2 linked regions of the Notamacropus eugenii genome follow. Each later gene encodes a partner of the first gene's protein in a complex. Links are inferred from orthologs where the notes say so. Each region holds a gene or a part of one and is shown on either strand. Other genes may lie near its edges. The genes, in order: HCN2 and PEX5L.

Region 1 (10,583 bases):
GAAGTAAGCAGAACCAGGAGAATATTATGCACATTAAGAACAAAATTGTAATGATAATTAACTGAAAGACACAGCAACTTTGATCACGGATCAGCAATGACCTATGACAATTCCAAAGGACTCATGATGAAAAATGTTATCCATCTGCAGATAGGGAATAGATGGATTCTAAGTGCAGTTTTAAGCATACTTTTTCTCCTTATTTTTCTTGTTTTTTTCAGTATGGCTAATGTGAAAATACATTTTGTGCAACTTCATATTTATAATGGATGTCTTATTTCTTGCTTTTTCAACTGGGTGGGGCAGGGGAGTGGAGGGAGAAGGAGAATTTAGAATTAAAATTAAAATGTTATTTTTTTTTAAGAGAGAGGGAAAAGATTATTGTATTTGGCCATTGAGAAATCATTGGAGAGCGCAGTGCAATGAGAAGGTCAAAAGCCAAATTGTAAGGGATTGTGTGTGTTCATCCTTCGTTGCCGAAGAAGACCATGCCGTCAGAGAAATAATGATATGACTTGCACTTGACTTTGTTTTGAGTGAGGGAGGACTGTGCAGGTCACCAGCCTCACTTCTCCTCCAGAGCCATCTGAATCCAGTGACCAGAAATTCATCAGGATGAGTGGAGATGACCCAGGCTGAGGCAATTGGGGTTAAGTGATTTGCCCAAGGTCACACAAGCTAGTGAGTGTCAAGTGTCTGAGATGAGATTTGAACTCAGGTCCTCCTGATTCCTGCACTGGTGCTCTATCTACTGCACCAGTTAGCTGCTGTAAAGGGTTAAGAAGAGAGTGAAAGGAGGGAAAGTGGAGACTCCTATTGTAGATAGCCTTTTTGAAGAATTAGTCACAAAAGGCAGAAGAGATATAGGAGGACAGTATGGAAGGACAAAGTGAGGATTTTTTTAGGATGGGGAAGACATGGGCATGTTTGTAGGCAGTAGGGAAGGAGCCAGTAGAGGGGGAGAGATGGAAGATAAGTGAGAGATGACAAACGGGGGAGTGTGTTGGAAGAGATAGAATCACTTGAACAAGTGGAAGGGTTATTCTTGGTAAGGAATCATGTGAGATAAGGGTGAAGGAAGAGAGTGGGGCAGAAGGCACCTGAGTGATATGAACTGAGAGAGAGTGGAAAAGAGGGAGCTCACAGTGAATGGCCTTGATTTTTTCTATAAAATGAGGCAGTTCAGTTGAGAAGGGAGGAAAAAGAGAGGAAGAGGGAGGTTTGAGGAAGGATGAAAAGATCTGGAAGAGCCAGAGTAGTGAGTGGGATAGTGAGTTGAAAAGGGAGGCATAGAAAGATTGCCTTGCAGCAGTGAGGGCCCAGTTGAGATTGTGTAACAAAAATTTGTAATAGACCAGGTGATTTTCTTCAGTTTCTTTCAGTAGCATGTGGTTAGGAGTGAAGGCTACAAATGGTGGGAGTGATCCAAGGCTGAGGCTTGTCAGGGCACAATCAGCAAAAAGATAAGGGTGTTAGGGATCAAAAGAGGATGACACTAAATTTGTTTACCATGGATCAAAATGGAGAAAATATGAGAGAGTAGCTGGTGCAGGGGAGATGGCCTAGGGGAGAATTCAGGGATCAAGGGACTGTAGGTCATGGTACAGACAATGAATAGAGTTTTATAAGGAAAAGCAGAGGGAGAGGTGAAAAGACAATAAATTATAGTCAGATGAGGGACTTTGGAATTCTTGAATGTGGTAGTGGTATATTTGTGGGTGATGATCAAGGGAAGGACCACTTTGTGTGCCTGACTGAGGTGAAGTGGATGAGCAGGTTATGGGAAGTGAGTAGGTTGAGGAACTGAATGGTTAGTATTTGAGGGATAGTCAACATGTATGTCAAAGTTCCCTAGTATGAGGACAGGAATTGGGAAGAAGAGAAAAAAATTCCACAGTTAAGAGGAAGCAGTAGTCTGAGGGAGAGAACCTGCTCAGCCCTCAGTCAGGTTCCAGACCAGCCAACGAATCTTCTCACAAATATATTAGCCAAGAGAGTGAAAGGTTGAGATAGTCCATCACTAATCCCTTTCCTTATGGTACAGTATCTTGAACCCTAGATCTTTTATGGTCTTCCTATTCGTGAGTGGTCCCTGAGGGGCATTGGAGCTTGTGCCAGGGGTAGGGAGTAGGGGAAACCTCAGGAACCGGAGCATTGGGTCACTCAACCCATGGCCTAGTATTCAGGGTCAGAGCCTAACTAACTCTAATCACTGATGAGCCCAAGTCCCTGCAGGGCATCCATGTGCATGCAGTGAGCCCCTGTGAGGAAAGATTGGAACATCTTTTCTCCTCCCTTTCTCATAATCACGACTTTTCAGCTCCAGACACCAGGGTCCTGGCTTCTTGCCCAGGGTGACATATTCCAAAGGCCCAGATCAAAGCCCTTTCAAATACATCCACCTCAGCCTGAACACTAAGCCAGACCCTAGGGGGTCCCGGGTTGACAGAGCCTGCTCTAAGCAGCCCCCATCTCTGTTTAACTTCCTTCTCAGCTGGGCAGGTCCAAGCAGGTCCAGCATATCTCAGACCTACCCTAGCCCAGGCTCTAACCCCTGTGGTAGAAATGCAAGCAGTGGCAGCTTCAGTACAGACAGCCTGGCTCTGCCTGTCCAAAAGCCCATCTGTCTCTCTGTCTGGCTGGCACAGGTAGAAGGAATATTAGGTCAAAACTAGAAGAAAACAAAACACAAAGTAGCAGAGCTGGAAAAGACCTTGGAACACAGAACGTGAAATTTAAAGGCATATTAGAACACTGGCTATTAGAGCTGGGAGGGACTTTGATGATTATCTGGTCCAGTCCCCTCATTTTAAAGATCAAGAAACTGAAGAAACAGGGGAAGGGACTTTGGAGAGCCTTCCGAAGATGACAATTGTGTTGGTAAAAGAATGAGATTATGTGGGCATGGGTGAGTTGAAAATGTTTCTCCTTAGTCTTGAGAGGGGAAACCACAATAACTTTGAAGTATTTGAAATAGGGGACAGCTAGGTGGCATTGTAATGAATAGAGTGCCAGGCCTGCAGTCAGGAAGACTCATCTTTCTGAGTTTAAATCCAGCTGCAGAGACTTACTAGTTGTGAGACCCTGGGCAAGTCACTTAACATTATTTGTCTCAGTTTCCTCTCCTGTAAAATGAACTGGAGAAGAAAATGGCAAACTACTCCAGTATCTTTGCCAAGAAAACCCCCAAAGGAGTCACAGAGTCATGCAACTGAAAACAACTGAACAGATGAAACAATGAAATGGGCATTAGACTTGTTCTGCATAACTCCAGAGATCTCTCATTAGACATGGTCATGTGATGGCAAGACCGACCACTTGGTGGAGAAGTCATAGAAGAGATTTTTGTTCAACTTCCAGGTGGTCTCTAAAGTTCCTTCCAGTTTTGAGGTTCTCTGATCCTGTGACTTCCCAAAGTCATACCAAGACTTATTGACTGATCCAGGAGAATATAGATTAGATCAGATTAACCTCATTTCCTTTTGTGAAGGGTTATTAGTAGAATGAGTAATTCTGTTGCCATAGGACATTTGGATTTCAGCAAGGTCTTTGGCAAAATCTCTCATGCTGTCCTTGTGAATGATGTCCTTTTCATTAATTTTTCATTCATTCATTCACTCTTTCATTCATTCCTGCTATCCTTTTTGAGATGATGAAGAATCATGACCTGAACAATAGCAGAGTAAGGTAAAGTCAGAACTTCTTGAATTGATCTTACACAGAGCTGTCATTAATGATTCTATGTCAACTTGGAGGCCAGTTTCTGGTATAATTTCCCAAGAATCTCATTCCTGATTCCTGTGGTGTTCAACATTTATAAGAATGACTTAGATGATGTCCTAGAAGGCATGACTGTCAAATTTGCAGATGACACAAGGCTGGGAGGACCAGTTAACATAATAGTTGAAAGTCACAATCTGAAAGAGCTCAATGGACTAGACTAATGGGCAGAAACTAATAAGATAAAACTTAATAAGAGACATATTAAGTTTTACACTTGGATTCTGTAAGTAAAGTTCACAAGAATAGAATGAGGGAGATATGGCAAGTCACTGGTTCCTCTGAAAAAGATCTGGGGGTTTTAATGGACCTCAAGTTTAGTATGTGTCAACAGTGTTATATGGTAGCCAAAAAAGATAGCCCATAGGGCTATAGTGGGTTTCCAGGAAGCCATGCACAAGATGGATTGTGTGATCTGCATCTTTGATAGGAATATTCATAAAAATCACATCTCAGATCCACTGAGGTAGATGTATCCTAGGTGGAATTAAGAGAAAGATGGTGTCCAAAACCAAGGGGGTTCTTGGATAACTGATCCAACCATATCTGAAGGATCATGTTTAGTTTTGGAGAAGGCAAAGAAAATGAAGCAGGTGTTCAGAAAAGTATGGTCAGGATGGTGAAAGAACTAGAGAAAATGTTGTATAAGAACTGGTTGAAGAAAATGGAAATGTTTAGCCTAGAGCAGTGGTTCTCAAAGTGTGGCATATGGCTTTCTAGGGGTTCACAAGAATACTCTCAGGGAATCTGTGGGATCTAATTTTAATAATGTTAGTAAGATGTCATTTGCCTATTTACTCCTCCCTTTCCCAATTACATAGATGTGGAAGGTCAGATTTTCTTCATACGCTCCAAACAAAACAACACATCACAACAGGTTGAATGCAGAAGCAGATAGGAAAATTTAACTGTCTTCAAATAGGCCAGACATTAAAAAGATTAAAAAAAAACAAAAACAAACCAAGGTAAACAATTTCAGTCTTCTCACTAATTTGTTTTGGAAAATAGTTGTTTTTCACCAAAATGTTATTTATGTTAACATGTGATGGGTTTATTATTGTTATTTTAATGAATTAATAAATTTTTAAATTTTTATCAGTTTTAATTTCTCATGTGGTAAATATAAAAAAAATATGACCTATATAAACAAAGGTCTTTGGGGAGTTTCAATAGTTTTTAGGGTGCAAAGGGGTCTTGAGACCAAAAAATTTGAGAACCACCTGCTCAGAGAAGACTTGTGTGATGGGGGTGGAAAGCATGGTGGGTGCGTGTGTATGTGTGTTTGTGTGTGTGTATGTGTAAATGATAGCTGTCTTCATGTATTTAAAGAGTTGAATGAGGAAGAGAGTTTAGCTTTGTTTTGTCTCCAGAGGGCTAAAACAGTAAACAATGGGACTGAAACTTCAGAGAGGCAGATATAGGTTTGATGACAGGAAAGCCTTTCAAGCAATGAGAGTGTCCCTCAGTAGTGTGGGCTGCCTTGGGGTGTAATGTGTTCCCCCTCACCGTCAGTCTTCAAGCAGAGGCTGAATAATCATTTAATGAGGCCATTGTGGAAAGGACTCAGTAACTGATTGTACCAAAAAACCTCTCAAGTTTCTCCCTGCTCCGACATTTGGTGACTTGTTTCCTGTGACTCTGTAGGGTTCCTTTTCTACTTAATAATGCCTATGAACAATCACAGAATAGGGGGTTCCTAGCCCAAGTCCCAGTTTGGGGGAAGCACTGGCCAACTCATCCATCCCATCCCTTATGTCCACCTCATGCTGGAAAAGGATGGGGAAGACAGAAGGAACCTAGCTTTGACTGTCCCAGTTTCTCAGCTCCTTTGGGAGCTGCCAGTTGGAAGACAGGCCAGGAGACCTCAGCTGCCATCAGCCACTGGGATTGGGGAGAACAGATGGACTGTCTTTTCTCCTCCTGTCTTCTGAAGGATGAAGAGATCCAGCAGCTGAGCCTTTGGGTAGGTGGGTGGGTTCAGTCCCCTACCTACTTCTGAAACTGCCTACTTGATGAAAGTAGCCTAGGGATAGTCAACAGGAATTTAGAGGATCTATATCTTAAGAAGAATATTCTATGTTCTAAGATCCCTTAGAGCTCTGATATTCAGTCTTCTAAGCAGCCTAATACAGTGAAAAGATCACTGTCTCGAAAATTAGAGGTCTTAGGTTCAAATCCCAAGTATCTGAAGGACCTTGGATGAATTTTTCACCCTTTGGGGCCTCAGTTTCCTATTAAATGAGGGTATTAGACTGGAGAGCCTCTAAGGTACTTTTCAGTTACACATTCTTTCCTGAGATCTAACCCCTAGCCCTCCAAATGCTGACATCCTATATTTCAAGGTCCCTTCCAGCTCCGACATTGTATGTCCTAGGTCCCTTATCACCTCTGACATTCTGGATTCTTGAGTTCCAGATTTTCTCTTCCCTCCCAGCTCTATGTTGCCAGGTACTCCTCACAGCACCCCAACTGTGACATCCTAGGTTCTAGGTCCCTTTCGACTCAAACGCTCTGGGTCCTGAGGACCCTCCCAGGTGTGACATCCCATGTTCTAGGTTCCTCGCACCTCGGACATTCGAGCTCCTGGGTTCCAAGTTCCCTCCCTTGCCCCAGCTCTAGACAGTCTAGGTTCGAGGTCCCTCTCAGCTCGGACACTCTGGGTCCTGAGGTCCCTCCCAGTTCTGATATTGTGAGATGCCAGCCTCTTCACCCCGCGCCCGCTCCCCCTCTGCCCCTCCGCGCCTTAGGCTCCTCCCTCGGCTCCTCCCGGCGCGGCGGCGCGTGTGCCTGCCCCTCCCTCCCGGGGTCTGTTGGTCCGCTCCCCGCCTCGGGCTCGGGGCGGCCGGGCGGACTCCGCACTGCCCAGCTCTGCGCGGCCATGGACGGGCGGGCGGGCAGCGCGCGGCCCGGGGAGGGCCAGGGGCCGTCCCCGGCTCAGCCGCCGCCGCCTCCGCCGCAGCCTTCGCCACAGCAGCCCCAGTGCCCGCCTAAGCCGGAGCCGCCGCAGCCCGAACCGCAACCACCGCCGCCGCCGCAGCAACAGCAGCACCCGCCCGAGCGGGAGCGGGAGCGCGAGCCCGGCCCGGGCGGCCCCGGGGGTCCCGGCAGCCCCGGGGGTCCGGAGCCCGAGACGGAGCCAGAGCCTGGCGGCCGGGCCCGGGGCAGCCTGAGCGCGCGGCCCGGGAAGCCGCCCCCCGGCCCGACCGCGGCCAAGGGCAGCCCGAACGGCGAGTGCCGGCGCGGGGGGGAGCCTCCGCAGTGCAGCCCGGGCCCCGGCCCCGGCCCGGGCCCCCCGGAGGATGCGGCCGCCGCCGCAGCAGCAGCAGCACGGGGCCCCAAGGTCTCCTTCTCGTGCGCGCCCGGTTCCGGCCCTGCCTCGGGCCCCGGCTCCCCAGGGCCAGCTCTCAAGGCGGGCGACGAGGCGGGGCCCGGGGACTGCGACGAGGCCGGCCCCGGCGGGGAGGCACGGGGCAGCCAGGCGAGCTTCCTGCAGCGCCAGTTCGGGGCCATGCTCCAGCCCGGGGTCAACAAGTTCTCGCTGCGCATGTTCGGCAGCCAGAAGGCCGTGGAGCGGGAGCAGGAGCGCGTCAAGTCGGCGGGGGCCTGGATTATCCACCCCTACAGCGACTTCAGGTGCCCGCCGCCCGGCTCTACGGGGCAGAGGGCTCAATAATGGGGGCAGGCCTGCAGGGGGCGCTGGGGGCGAGGAGGGAAGGGGCGTCTGGAGGTGGGAGGGAGACCCTGCAAGAGGTTCTGGAGGTGAAGGTGAAGTGGGGGGGGGGGTCTAGTGTTGGGAGGGGGGAACTTTCAGGAGCGACCAAGGTGAGGAAGGAGAGAGTGGAGAGGGGGCTGCTGGAGGGAGAGCTGACCTCTGGAGTCACAGAGGGGCGTATTGTTTGGGGCGGGGGGAGGTCTAGGGATTGAGGGTCGGAGAGTGGCACTTTGTATAGGGTCTGGGGACTGGAGGTCAAAGAGCGGCATATTGTATGTGGAGGGGGAGGGGCCTGGAGAGAGGGGGTCGGGGTAGCCGCATAGCAGAGGGGCGAACACGTCAAGATTCAGGGATCTAGGAGAGATGCCACGAGACCTGGGGAGTGCTTCTATGTGAGGAGGAGGAGTGGGTGGAGAGGTCGGTGAAAAGGACGAATAGAGGGGAAGGTCAAGGAATTGGGAAGGCCCGAATCTTTTTGGAGGAACCCGCCCAGTCCAGACCTGGGCAGCTAGGGCAAAGAGGGCACTGAGGAAGGACGGGGAAGGGGCGGGGGCAGCTGGGAGGGATTGGACGCCAGAGCTCCCAGGTCGGGCTTTAGGTGCACCGGCCTGAGGAGAAATGTTAGGGGTGGAGGAACAGAGCCTCAAGGACGTCGGTCTGAGAGCTGCCCTTCCTCTCCACCATATTAGTCTGGTTCTGAATCTGAGAGGGGGAGGCCCCTGTCTCTTGTTTTCTGTGTGTGACCATGTGTCACTGTATGTCTTGGTGAGGTACATGTCTATGTGAATGGGTGGTTTGACTGTGAGTTTGCGTTATCTGCGTGTGCATGTGTGTTATCTCTCTCAGAGTTGTTTGTGTGGTGGTGTGGTGTCAATATATGCACATGTGTCGGTGCGGTGTGTGACACACTCAGATTTTTGTTCTGTAAAATATAGACATAAAAAAGTCTTCCGATGCCTTCTCCCAAGTCTCTGTGCTCTAAGTCTTTCAGCACCAAGGACAGCAGCGCAGGACACTCCACTTAAGGATCTTTACCATGCCTGCTCATGCCCGAGTAACCACCTTCCTGCAACCGCAGGGCTGGGCCTTGGGCAGCTCCCCCCTCCTACTGTCCTCCCTGTTTGCTGTCTTCTGTCCATCCCTGTCCTGTCCCTCTGCTTATAGTTTTTTGCTTAAAACCAGATTGAAAGCCCCCTAGATCTTGTCTCTTCTTTCCCCCTTGTGTTTCCTTCTCTCCCATCTACATATGCCTAAACATGCTATTCTTAGGGGAAATCTGAGAATTGGAGGTCCAGAATAGGGGGAACAAGAATGCTTGGGCCCTATTCTATTGTCAGTCCCTCTAGGCCTCCATCCCTACTCAGTTTCAGGGGGCAGAACTTCACCCCTGTTTTGTTCCAATCCTACTGAACCTAGTGAGAGGGGAAAGGAAGGAGGCATTGTGTTGTGAAAAGAGCAGAGGATTTGAAATCAAAAGATCTGAGTTTGAAGCATAAATCTGCTACTTACCACCTGTATGACCTTGGGAAAGTCCATTGTTCTTTCTAGATCTGAAAAGTGAGAGAATTAAACTAGATTATCTCTAGTTCTGAATTCTGTGATTCAAAGGTGTAGGGAGAGATTTTTGGGGGGAGGGGAGGGATCTCAGAAACAATATGGAGGATTCCTTCAATTTCCTTGGGGAAAGGAAGTTCTTTGTGCTACACTTTCTTCAGGAAAGTGTCTTAGGGACCCTTCCCCAGTCTTTTTAGTTATATTCTGAATCTAGGGGCATGTGCCTGATCTTCCCGGGGCGGGGGGTGGGGGGGAGAGGCAGGATGTCTCATATGCTCAGTTAGTTCTCTCTAAACAAACCTCATTTTGAGAGTAGTGAAGGAAACATGGAACTAGGGAATGCAGAACACTTTTGTTCTGGGCCAAATCATTCTTTTACTTCACTGTAGAAATCCACTCAAACCACTCTCCTCAGGGTCACAGTTTGCCTTTCTGCAAGATGGGTAAGGAGAAAATATGGATGGAATGTTTTCCTTTGGGAGTGTCAAGAGGATGACTGACAGATGCCTAGCACTCCTTGGAGACACCAGCAGGGAGGGATAAGGAATTATTCTTTCTCTTTGCAGAATGTCCCCTACCCCCTTCCCAAAGTGGGTCTCTCTCCAATCATCCTATGTGTGGGTTGACCAAACGGTCCCAGTCCCACTTTGGACTTTGGATGGCTCCTTAGGGTGAGATCTAATTCTAGGGTAACTACTTATAGACAGGGCTACTTGCCCTGGGGGACCTAGGGAAGTCCCTAGGGAATCACCCTATGGAGGAAGTATTTTTTTTTATTAAGAGAATTTGTTCTGTGAAGTTTGGATTTAGTCAAAAGGCCACACTTGAGGACCTAGAGGGTCATATGTTACCTCAGGGCCACAGGTTCCCCACCCCTGATCTAGACCCTCCCAACCAGTGGGCTTCCCTAATCCAGGAGAGTTAGATCACTTCAGAACTCCATGCTTTTGAGCTGGGAAGATGATCCCACAAAGAATAGTCTTCCTTGCCTACCCCTTGGTGTTCCAAACTCTCTGAACCAAACCACTCCAGGATGAAATTAATATCTTGGAGAGGAAGTGGTGTGGATAGAGAAGAGGTTGGGGATCCAGGAGGTCTGCGTTTAGTATAATATAAAGGATTGAATCTGGTGTCAGAAAACCTGGACTTCCGTGTTTTGACTGTTGTGTTAGCTTTTTATGTGACCTTATGCAAGTCCCTTCCTCCATATGAGCCTCAGTTTCCCTCTTTCTAAAAGGAAGGGATGGGAGTGAAGTCCTGTCCAACTCTAACATTCTGTGCACTATATTCTTAAGATCCCTCCCAATTCTGACATGCTGCATTCTAAAGTCCCTCTCAGCTTGGATCTCATTTGATTCACAGTTGGATGAAATAAGAGAGGGAGTCCAGATGTATGGGACAGGTTAGATCTCTTGGTGAGAGGCACTGGGGACATCAAGGTGTGAGAAGACCCTGAATCGTCCACAAGGAAAATTACATATGCCTGATTCCTATGCTAGGAAGACTTCTGATTGTAAATAAGAAAGGACCCCTCTAG
Region 2 (10,052 bases), on another chromosome or scaffold:
TATATTATTGGCTCCTGTACCAACGGGCAGTTGCAGGTGTGACCTTCCTTGCCCCCCACCCCTGATGTCTGCTTTCCTATAAACAGCAAAGGGAAATTCCTGAAATAAGTCCACTGGGTGAGGGAAAATCCAACTGATTTATATAGGCTGTCTTCCATTTGATTATAAGGTTTTCAAAAACAGTAGGGACTGTTTTTGCTTTTTCTTTATATCTCCTATGCTTAGTACAGTGCCTGACTCATAGTAAGCAATTAACAAGTTCTTGTTGATTGTTTACAAAAATCACAGAATATCAGAGTAGGAATGGACCTAAAGGGCCATCTGGTCTAACTTGTACCTTTCTACAAATTACCCAACCAAGTCATCTAGCTCTGCTTAAAGCCACACAATGAGGGGGAACTCACTACCTCCCAAGGCAGAAGTTGGATTATTGGAAGAATGTGTTCTCAGAAGAGGAGTAAGAAGTTCTCAAATTATTCTGCCCCAGGATACGTTGGCAAAGCTCTTTCTCAGCTAAAATTGTGTTCTTCCTCACAAATTTCTCCAAGTCCTTAATTAATCCTCTCCTTTGCTATTTTATTCCTATGTGCCTTATATCTTCCTGTCAGAGCTATTTCAGGATATAGTTCCCTCCAACCCTCTCATAAACTTCTTGAGAGCAGAAGCTTAGTAGTGTCTGTCTTTGTATTCCCAGGGCCAGTCATCTAAAAGATAAGTGATAACTCGGTTGAACTTAGATTTATTCTTCCTTATTTTCTCCTTTGCCTCTTTCCCTCTTCCCCTAGGAATATTACTCTCTCAGGTTGTAGTGATGCCCTGATTCTTTAGACTCACAGAAAGTCTGGAGCCAATGCTGAAGTGCTGATTGGTTTAGCAGTAATAAGAAAAAAATCAAGAGAAAAGTGCTTATTTTAAAGGTCATGAGCTGGCTTCACTAACCCACAATGCTATGCTTCCTATGCTTCCTACTAGGCAATAAGATAAGAAGAAAATTAAATTTCTATATCAGGAAGCCTTGGTTTTGAATCCTTTCTCAGTTACTAATAGGCTATGTGACTTTTGGTGTCAACCTTTCTGAGACTCAATCTATTAATCAGTAAAATAGGAATAATAATTACATAAAAGCACCTACCTTTCAGGGCTGCTGCAAAGATCAAATGAGATCACACGTTTAAAGGTTTTGCATATGTAGAAATGTTACTTATCATTATATTTCATTTCAACATTTTTAATTTCCCTATGACTTATTTGGTATAGATTAATTTCAAAAGGTGAAATCATTTTTTGGAGTAGAGAAACTAATTACTAAAGCATTTTCCTAACAGGTTTTAGGTAGGGCAGAGCCCTACTCCTTACTTCGCCCACCACCACCCAAGTCGTTTTTGCTCAGAGTAAGCAGCTCAAGAAAGTCATGTCCACTAGTGCCTGATCCATGCTCCTTGATTTTCTATTCATGACTAAAGTCAATCTTGACCAAGACTGTGATTTTTCTTCCATCCTCCCCAACTTGCTATGTGACCCAAACAAATCCTTTCCTTTCTTTGAAACTCAGTTTCCTTGGCTATAAAAAAGGTTTATAATACTTGCACTACCCAGTGATGAGGTTAATCACTTTGAAGACCTTCAAATGTTATAGAATATGACTTTATTTTATCATTATTTCAGCCAATGTCCAATTTATGAAGAAGTTGGTCTCCCCTTCTGACTCTGCATCATGTGCCACACGTACTCTCCCCCTTCTGGGCAAAGGGATTTTTCAGCTTTTTCTAACTAAAGCCAAATATGAAAAGATGCTTGGAGACAAAGATTTCTTGTGACATTTCTTTGGAGGGTTCCGCTTTGGTTAAGTAACTGACCAGGTAGAAAAACTGAGTGTCTAAACTCATGAATTCTTTTCCAGGAGGACAGGCAGAATCAATCAATCCAAGTAAATTGGCTTGCTCTATGAAGAAGTAGTGGTGGTTGGAGTGACAACTTGGAATCAAGAGATAGGATCAAATCCTTCCTCAGACACTTACTGGCTATGTCATAGTGAAAAAGCTCCACAGCCTCTCTGGGCCTCACTTTTCTCATCAGTAAAATGGGAATAGTAAGAAGTCCACTATCTGCCCCAAAAGGTTCTTGTAAGGAAATAAAGCACTTTATTACTACTACTCAGTTTTATAGTTTTAATTGGCACAAAGATCCACAGGACTGCCAATTGCAAATGAATCTTATGGACCACCTATTTCAGAAGTTCTTAATCTATAGCCTGTAAACATACACACACACACACAGATATACATGTACATATATATATATACACATACATATATTTATATCAGTATGCATATACATATACACACATACATATATAGATAGATAGGTATATGTATATAGACACACATGCATATATAATATATATATACATACAAAACTCTTTTCTAATATAATCCTATGTACTTTATTTTATACATTCAAAAACATTATTAATAGAAGACCCACAGACTTCACCAGACTGCCATACGTGTCTGACATACAAAAAATTAATAAGAACCTTGATCTAGTCCAACCTCTCATTTTATAGAGGCACCACTGAATCTCAGAGAGGTCATGGGCTTATGGGATCATAGATCAGAGCCAGAAGGGACCCCAGAAGTCACCTAGTTTAACATCCATTTTACAGCTGGGAAAAACAAGGTCCAGGAAGGAGAAGACCTGCTCAAGGTCATCTAGCTAGTAAAGCAGCACAATCACACTCTGGTTCACTGACTGCATCTTTCCTCCTAAGACTAGATTATATACTCTCATATTTTAGACAATTTATCATATATATATATGTATATATATATATATGTGCATATATGTCAGAAGACATAATCTGATTCCTGCTCCAGTCAATGCAGCTATTTAATCAATTTGGACTATATCTACTTATTACTGAAGGATTAAATCGATAAGACTGATTAGAGAGTATATTTCGACAAGAATTATTTTATTTTACTTTTCATCCAGGACTGATTTCATTCATTCGCAGCACATTAACTCCCTCCACCAATGCATATTAGCTTCTCCTTTGTAATTTATGGACTTGGGAATGGGAATTTAAGTGACTTGCTCAGGGTCCCATGGACAAATATAACAAAACTCTAACCTAAGTCTTCCTAATGTTATCTACAGTACTATACCATGATCTTCCCTATCTTATAACCTTGTTAATAATCTGTAAATGATTTGTTGATACCCCAACCTCAGTGTTTCCATCTATGAAAAGGGTATAATAATTCATGAACTATATTGTGTAACTCAAAGGGCTGTTGTGAGGCTCAAACAAAATGTTGACTGTAAAGGACTTTGTATGCATCAAAAAGCAAAATCTAAAAAGTCAGCATTTATCATTCTTTCTACTAAAACAGAGATTCTCATGAGGTTAATCTATAATGTACAATCCTTCCTCATTTTTACAGAATCTTACTATTGAGAGACAGTTTAGTATTGATCAAAAAGGAACTGAATGGGGAGTTGGAAGACCCAACTGGGGAGTTGAAGACTGAACTCTTCTCCTTACTCCCCAGAAAGCAGAACTAGAGGGAAGTATCAAAGAGTCAAATTTAGGCTTAATGGAAAGAAAAATTTCCTAACTTTTAGAGCAGTCCAAAAAGGAAATGGGATCCTCCCTCCCTGGAGGTCTTGAAACAAAGGTTGTATAATGTAATGGGGATTTTCAGTAATATAGCTGGCTAAGTGACCTCTGAGATCCATTCTCATTCTTTGATTCTGCTCACTGATTCAGAGTTATGATGAGACAGCTACTTCATATGTAAAAATAGCCATTCAAAATGGCTGTATGGTGTAGATTTCACCTGAAAACACAATAAATTTTTTTAATTATTTTTGCTCTGTAGAAAAAAGTGTTCCTCCTCTAATTTATACTCAAATAGACCAGACTATATACTGTGAAATCTTCTCAAGTTCTTGCTTATAAAGTTTTCCTGTGTAATGTATTCTGGCTAAGCTTCCATGATTTTCCATTTTCCTCCAAAGGAATCTTCCTGTTTTAAAGTTTACTCTACTGGCATGTATAAAATATGATCCTTATTAGTTTGGGACATTTTCTTCTTTTTTGGTGATGGCCCAAGAGGTAGAGAAGTAGTGTGCAGCTACAAGAAGCAAAACAGGATAGGACATAGAGTGGTACAATGGAAAGTGATCTGGGTGTGTAGTTGGAGGTCCTGAGTTCAAATCTCACCTTTGCCACTTACAACCTATGTTGTTTTGGACATGTCATCCTAACTCCCTGGGCCTCGGTTTCAACATCAGTTTTAAAAAAATGGGGAGGAAATGTTTCAGTCTACATGACTTTGAAAGTTATCCATATGCCCTGGATCTAAGATTCTATGTATTTACCAGGTTCATAGTTCCTAAGAAGGTAACTATGGACTTTTCTAGAAGAAACAGATTAAATTATGTTCAAACTTTAACCCATTATATTTCACTCAGAGAGTCTATGAAGCTAGTCCTAGGATGGTGAGCAGGTAAAGCAGGTGTGAGGGTCTCTTTCACCCAGTTCCTCCTGAAAAACAAAAGAAATAAGTTTTTAAAAGTGACTGTTCTTAAAATGAAATGGGGATAAGTCTCAGGGTTAGAGGTATGTTGGGGGAGTTTAGAGAGATGTCCTGTTTTCCCCTTATGCCCTATACCTCATATGCCTCACTTTCCTGTAGTTCAGATTTCGAGCTAGTGCAAGCCTCAACTTTTACAGATGAGGACACTGAGGCCCAGAGTGGTGAAAGGATTTACTCAGGGTTATACAGGGGTGAAAAAGGTGGAGTTGGGTTTCCAAGCCAGATCCTTTGATTTTTAGAACAAATCCTTTTTTCCACTGAGCATGGAACCTGGTTTCTGTCTCTGTTGCCAAAAATACTAAGGTGAGAAGTGTGGAGAAGTATGGACTCAAGGCCTTAAATGATACTGCCAGCTACTGACTTGTTTTCTTCAGTGAGAGGAGGAGGGAGGAGCACAGGAAGTTTCTTCTCCTCCCACTGAAGCCCTGCCTCTCAGGGTTGGACAAGGGCTGAGATTACTTTTCTTTCTCCCTCTTGCTTAGCCCTTCAGCTCCCAAAACCCACACAGGGTTGTGGAAGTTAGGGGTTTGAATGGTGTTAAGGAAGGGTTCTTTTTCTTTCTTTTTTCTTTTTGGTAAACATTAGAAGAACTTAGCTAGAAGACAAGGGTTCCCAGCTGGGGAAAGCTAGTCCAGTTGAAGAAGTGTCTGGGTTGGCGATCCAGCTGTCCAAGTGCGAAGCTAAGTGCTTGAAAGAGGATTATTGCTGCACTAGAATAAACAGTAAGTGAGAGAATGCCCAAGAGTGCAGAGCAGTGTTTAGCTCCCTGGGCTGGAGGGGCGACTGCAGAAATGGGCTTGATTGGGGGAGCCAGTGTGGGAGATTCAGGGCTCAAGATCCATGTGCAGGAGGGGCTTGCTGCTGGCTATTGAACAGGGGCTTAAGAAGGCAGGGCTCAGGAAGATTGTCTTTTAGCACTTCGGGATGCGAACTAATGCTTGTTCACTTTGAGTAACCAGATGCCATAGAGTTCGGCTTGAATCAGAGACCACAATTACAGGGGAAAGTAGGCTATGAGCAAGGAACAAGAGAGAAAGAGGAAGGGGGAAGGAGAGGGAGAGGACTAGAGGGAAGAGGGAGGAAGAGGGAGAGAGGCAGAAGGAGAGACAAAAAGGAAAAACAGAGACAGAGAGAGGGAGCAAGAGAGAAAGAAGGAAGGAAGGAAGGAAGGAAGGAAGGAAGGAAGGAAGGAAGGAAGGAAGGAAGGAAGGAAGGAAGGAGGGAGGGAGGGAAGGAGGAAGTGAAGAAGGAAAAAAGAATGAGATGAAAGAAAGCAGAGAGAAAGAGGGGTGAGAGTGAGGAAGGGAGATGAGACAGAGAAAGCAGCAGAAAGACAGGGAGAGAGTTACAAAGAGAGAGTCGAATCAAACAGAAAGAGACAGTGAAAAAAAAGGAAGAAAAGAGATGGAGTGAGGAGAGGAGAGGAGATGAGACACAGACAGACAGAGAAAGAGAGAGACCTGGCAGAGATGTCAATCAGAAATGGAGTTTGGGAGATTAGGAAAGGTTCTTCTCTAATTGTGTTCATAATAACCCAGAACTCTCAACTCCAAAGAGCTGAGAAAATGTTGATAGAAGTGAAAAGCTTTGCTAATGGGAAGGGCTTTATTCCAGGGGGCACAGAGTGTAATGGAAGAGTGGATTGAGTGGGAAAGGAAACAAAGAGTAAATAATAGATGAGCTTCAAAAGAAGCTTCAGCTGGGGACAGAAATGCCCTAGAAGGAGAATTTGGAAAGGAAGCCATCAAGTTTTCGATTCCTCTTTGTGCTAATGGCCTGCCCCATCTTGACATATGAGCTAGGAACAGGAGAGAAAGAGGAAAGGGGAAGGAGAGGGAGAGGGCTAGAGGGAAGAGGGAGGAAGGGGGAGAGACAATGACAACTTGCCCAGGCTGGAGACTGCTTCAGGGATGCTCCAGTCCTTGATGCATGTTCTAAATGTCATCGCTGTGCCAGATTCAGGGTCCTATTGTGCCAAACCCTGGCAATGAAGCCACAGTTCAGTTGGTGCAAGGAATTCTGGGATGTCTAAGAGTGACATGAGTGGAAGGACTCATGTCCCATCTCTCTTTAATGCCCTATTGTCCAGAAAACTGGCCCTACAAGTCAGCTACTTGGTAGGTATACATACAAATAATCCAAGAGGTTCTCTGAAACAATCGTTCCTTTAGATGGCCTGAGTGATTTACCTCCCAACACCCAGTTAGACTGAGAAGGTCAAAGTGTAAAGTGATGGGAACTGGAATGGGTAGGAAGAAGCAGGATGATGGAAGTCAGCCAAGCTCTTTTTGATTTCCATCCAGCCTGAAATTTAACCTCAAATGAGATAAAAAAAAAAAATCAGAGAAACACCATGACCATCTATTCCATTCCATTCTAAATTCATGGATAAACGAATGGAAGCACAGGTTTTAGGTCTACGTCCGTATACTTGGACTCAGGACTCCCTTTGCTAGAGAAGGCACTACTGCTGTCTCATTCATTATGTAAGGGGGGGGTGGTAACAGGGGGCTGTGCAAAGTTGGGGTAGAAATGTTATTTGAGTGGTCAAGGACTTGGCATATGGACAAATATTATCTCCACTAGTTTCTCAAAGATTTATGACTTTTCAAATGACACCAGTACCCTTTAAGGACAGGTATATTCTAATTTACACCAGCTGAGAGTACAGAAAAGTTGGGGGTTTTTAAAGTTTCTTAATTTTTATTGACAACTCACAAAAGCCAATGTCATTTGAAAAAATAAACTTGGGGTATGGGTGTCTATTTAGTCATTTTTTTCATGACTTTAGGGATCATCTAGTATGACAGGCATGGGCCACAGGTATTTTTATCTTGGATTTTCTGACCCAAATTACACGGAAACAACAGAGCTTGAGCTGGGGTTCAGGTGGGGTTCAAATAGGCAAGAAGTCAGGCTTCGTTTTCACAACTATGACAGAAGCAAAATGATCTTTACTCTCCATTTCCAAACTAAAGCCTCACAAGAATGTGTACGTTGGTGGAAGTGATTGGGGGTGTGGTGATCAGGGTAGAAGAGGGGCTTGAGTATAGTCAGGCTAGTGGGAAGGCTGTACAATCTAGCCAATCATCTGTTTGTTTCTCCTTTTAAACAATGTCCTTAATGTTTAAAAATGTTTCTTGTTCCATCTTGTGACTATTATCTCAGAGGGTTTCCCCAATGGTAATTCTCATCTGGTCTATGTACAAAGAGAGAACAACTTTAATTTTGTCATATGGGCATGAACATTTTCCCCTGATTCAGGAAATGTGTGAGAGCCAAACATTTAATCACCTCAGTCTTAAACACCTATTTACACAATTACAAGACTGAAAAAGAAGTGCAAAGACCACGTGTGCCCACTATGATCTTCTAAGGCAGGGTCTGGAATCTGGGGTCTGGAAACTTGTTTTCTTAATATTTATAATAATAATAATAAATCTTGATATCATATATTTAACTAGATAATAATAATATACCTTAATAATATAGCTATATTTCAATATGATTGTTTTTCTTTGTAATTATATGTACTTTATTTGATGCATTTAAAAACATTCTGAGAAGGGGTCCATAGGCTACACCAGCCTGCCAGGTGGGTCCATGACCTAAAAATCATTAAGAATCTCTTCTACTAGTAATGGCTCAAGTCTCCCTAGATAATACTCAAACTGACCAGGAACCATGAAATTAACAAGTTCCCTAGAGAAGGGAGCTAAAGTTTGGTTGGAGGGTACAAAGAGGGGAGGGCGGATAGCAGAGAAGTCAACAAAAATGAAAACTGAGTTATTAAGCAACCAACAGCTTAGCGAGACTAGAGGACCTTTGCTTATGTACATGTAAGAGCTACAGAATGTTTAATGAATTATGACTAGCCATAGGGGAAATAAAGGGATTCATTTTTTACCATTGAATATTAACTGAGAGTTAGACCAGTTATTAATGGAAAGAGACTAGAGATCAATGATGCTTCAAAATTACCGAGCTACTGAAATGCTTTTTAAAATTATTCTTTCACAAGAAAAGTAAAGAAAAAGGATATGGAAAGCTAAGCAGTGATGAAGACATCGAAATAATTGTTGATCAAAACCAGGTAAGTGGATGCTTCCTTTGATTTCCTATTGCTTGTTCAATATTCCTGAATGTTGACATACCTGATAGCACCTGACGTCCTATGAGGTGTGTGTGTCTGTCTGTGTCTGTGTCTGTGCATTTGTCTGTGTATATGTGTTAGAGTTCATTCGCCTTGGTCCTTATGGGCTTTCTCTTCTATCTATGACCTTCCTAGCAAGATGGGTTCTGAGACCATCTTTGACGGGTTGCCTGAGTCAAGGACCACCTACAAAATGGTTTGTGGATGAATATGTTGCAGAACAGGCAAAACAAGATAAGAGAAATTTTGAAGAGTCAGCCAATGAACTGAGCCTAAACATGAATGATGACTGTGGAATGAATTAGAAGAGAATGTAAAAGGAAGTCTTCCATTGATATAAAATACTTTCTAGAGGATTAGATTGTTTCTAAAGTCCTTTCCAGCTCTAAATCTATGCAACTACAATCCTATGATAATACATTGTACTCTCATAACTTTTCTTGCTTGATTCTCATAACAACCTTTTGAAATAGGCAGGGCAGTATCATTCCTTTCTTATCTTCTCCTCTCCTCTCCCCTTTTCTTTTCTCTTCTTTTTTAGACCAGACCAGTGACTTCTTTGGCATAGGGAACTCCTAGTAAGAAAACTCCCTCTACCAATATAGATTGCCACCTGCTCTGCCTTAATACATCTTTAGTATGGTACATGAAAAGGGAGAAAAAGGATTATTGTATTAATCAATTCCCACCAGTAACACTGGGAGCACATGCTCCCCCTTTAGAGATTTACCTGGAGGCACTGAGAGATTAAGCCAGGATGTTTCAGAGGTGACACTTAACCATCTACTCTTGCCTCTGAGGCCAGATTTATATGCACCACACACAAGGCTCCATTCATGGGATGATTATTTTCAAGATCATGAAACTGAGGTTTAGAGAGGACCCCAGGGTCATATACCTAGTAAATGTCAGATTGGAACCCAAGTCTCTTGATTTTCATTCCGGTATGTTGCTTGGGATCACATATAGAGAACTAACTTAGGCAGAGAAGACTGAAAAAAATTAATGACAACATCTGCCCATTAAAGGTCTTGTCAAATATTATAGCTGATTTTAAAAATAAAAAAAAGTGAACAACTAAGATGATTACTTTAAAAAAATTGCTTTCATGAACTTTCTTGGAGAAAATGGTAAAACTGCTTGATAACACCATGAATTTAAAGGTAAATTAGAGGCTCTTGGAAAGCTTTTTAGGCTTCTCATTATTTAAAAAGCCTCTAACTCTGATTTTATACGAGCACATAAGGTGAAATGAAAACTGGCTAATGGCCCATAAACAATGACATGCTAAGTAA

What was found.
Region 2: the proteins of HCN2 (region 1) and PEX5L are in contact, whole or in part, in a crystal structure (PDB 4EQF), measured with the Mus musculus proteins. The link is inferred for Notamacropus eugenii from reciprocal best matches to the Homo sapiens genes HCN2 and PEX5L. Residues at the interface, in NP_032252.1 of Mus musculus: Leu859, Ser860, Ser861, Asn862, Leu863; in NP_001156988.1 of Mus musculus: Glu315, Glu317, Val343, Asn347, His426, Asn453, Arg454, Ala457, Thr458, Ala460, Asn461, Tyr472, Arg484, Tyr487, Asn488, Ile491, Ile494, Ile537.

The regions. Positions count from the first base shown.
Region 1 is NC_092875.1:69,345,039-69,355,621, forward strand, and holds the start of HCN2 (potassium/sodium hyperpolarization-activated cyclic nucleotide-gated channel 2), read left to right. Parts: upstream 1-6,620; 5' UTR 6,621-6,658; coding exon 6,659-7,413; intron 7,414-10,583. UniProt on the Homo sapiens protein: Hyperpolarization-activated ion channel that is permeable to sodium and potassium ions. Displays lower selectivity for K(+) over Na(+) ions. Contributes to the native pacemaker currents in heart (If) and in neurons (Ih).
Region 2 is NC_092877.1:344,269,513-344,279,564, forward strand, and holds the start of PEX5L (PEX5-related protein), read left to right. Parts: upstream 1-5,091; 5' UTR 5,092-5,326; intron 5,327-6,560; 5' UTR 6,561-6,628; coding exon 6,629-6,721; intron 6,722-8,625; coding exon 8,626-8,697; intron 8,698-10,052. UniProt on the Homo sapiens protein: Accessory subunit of hyperpolarization-activated cyclic nucleotide-gated (HCN) channels, regulating their cell-surface expression and cyclic nucleotide dependence.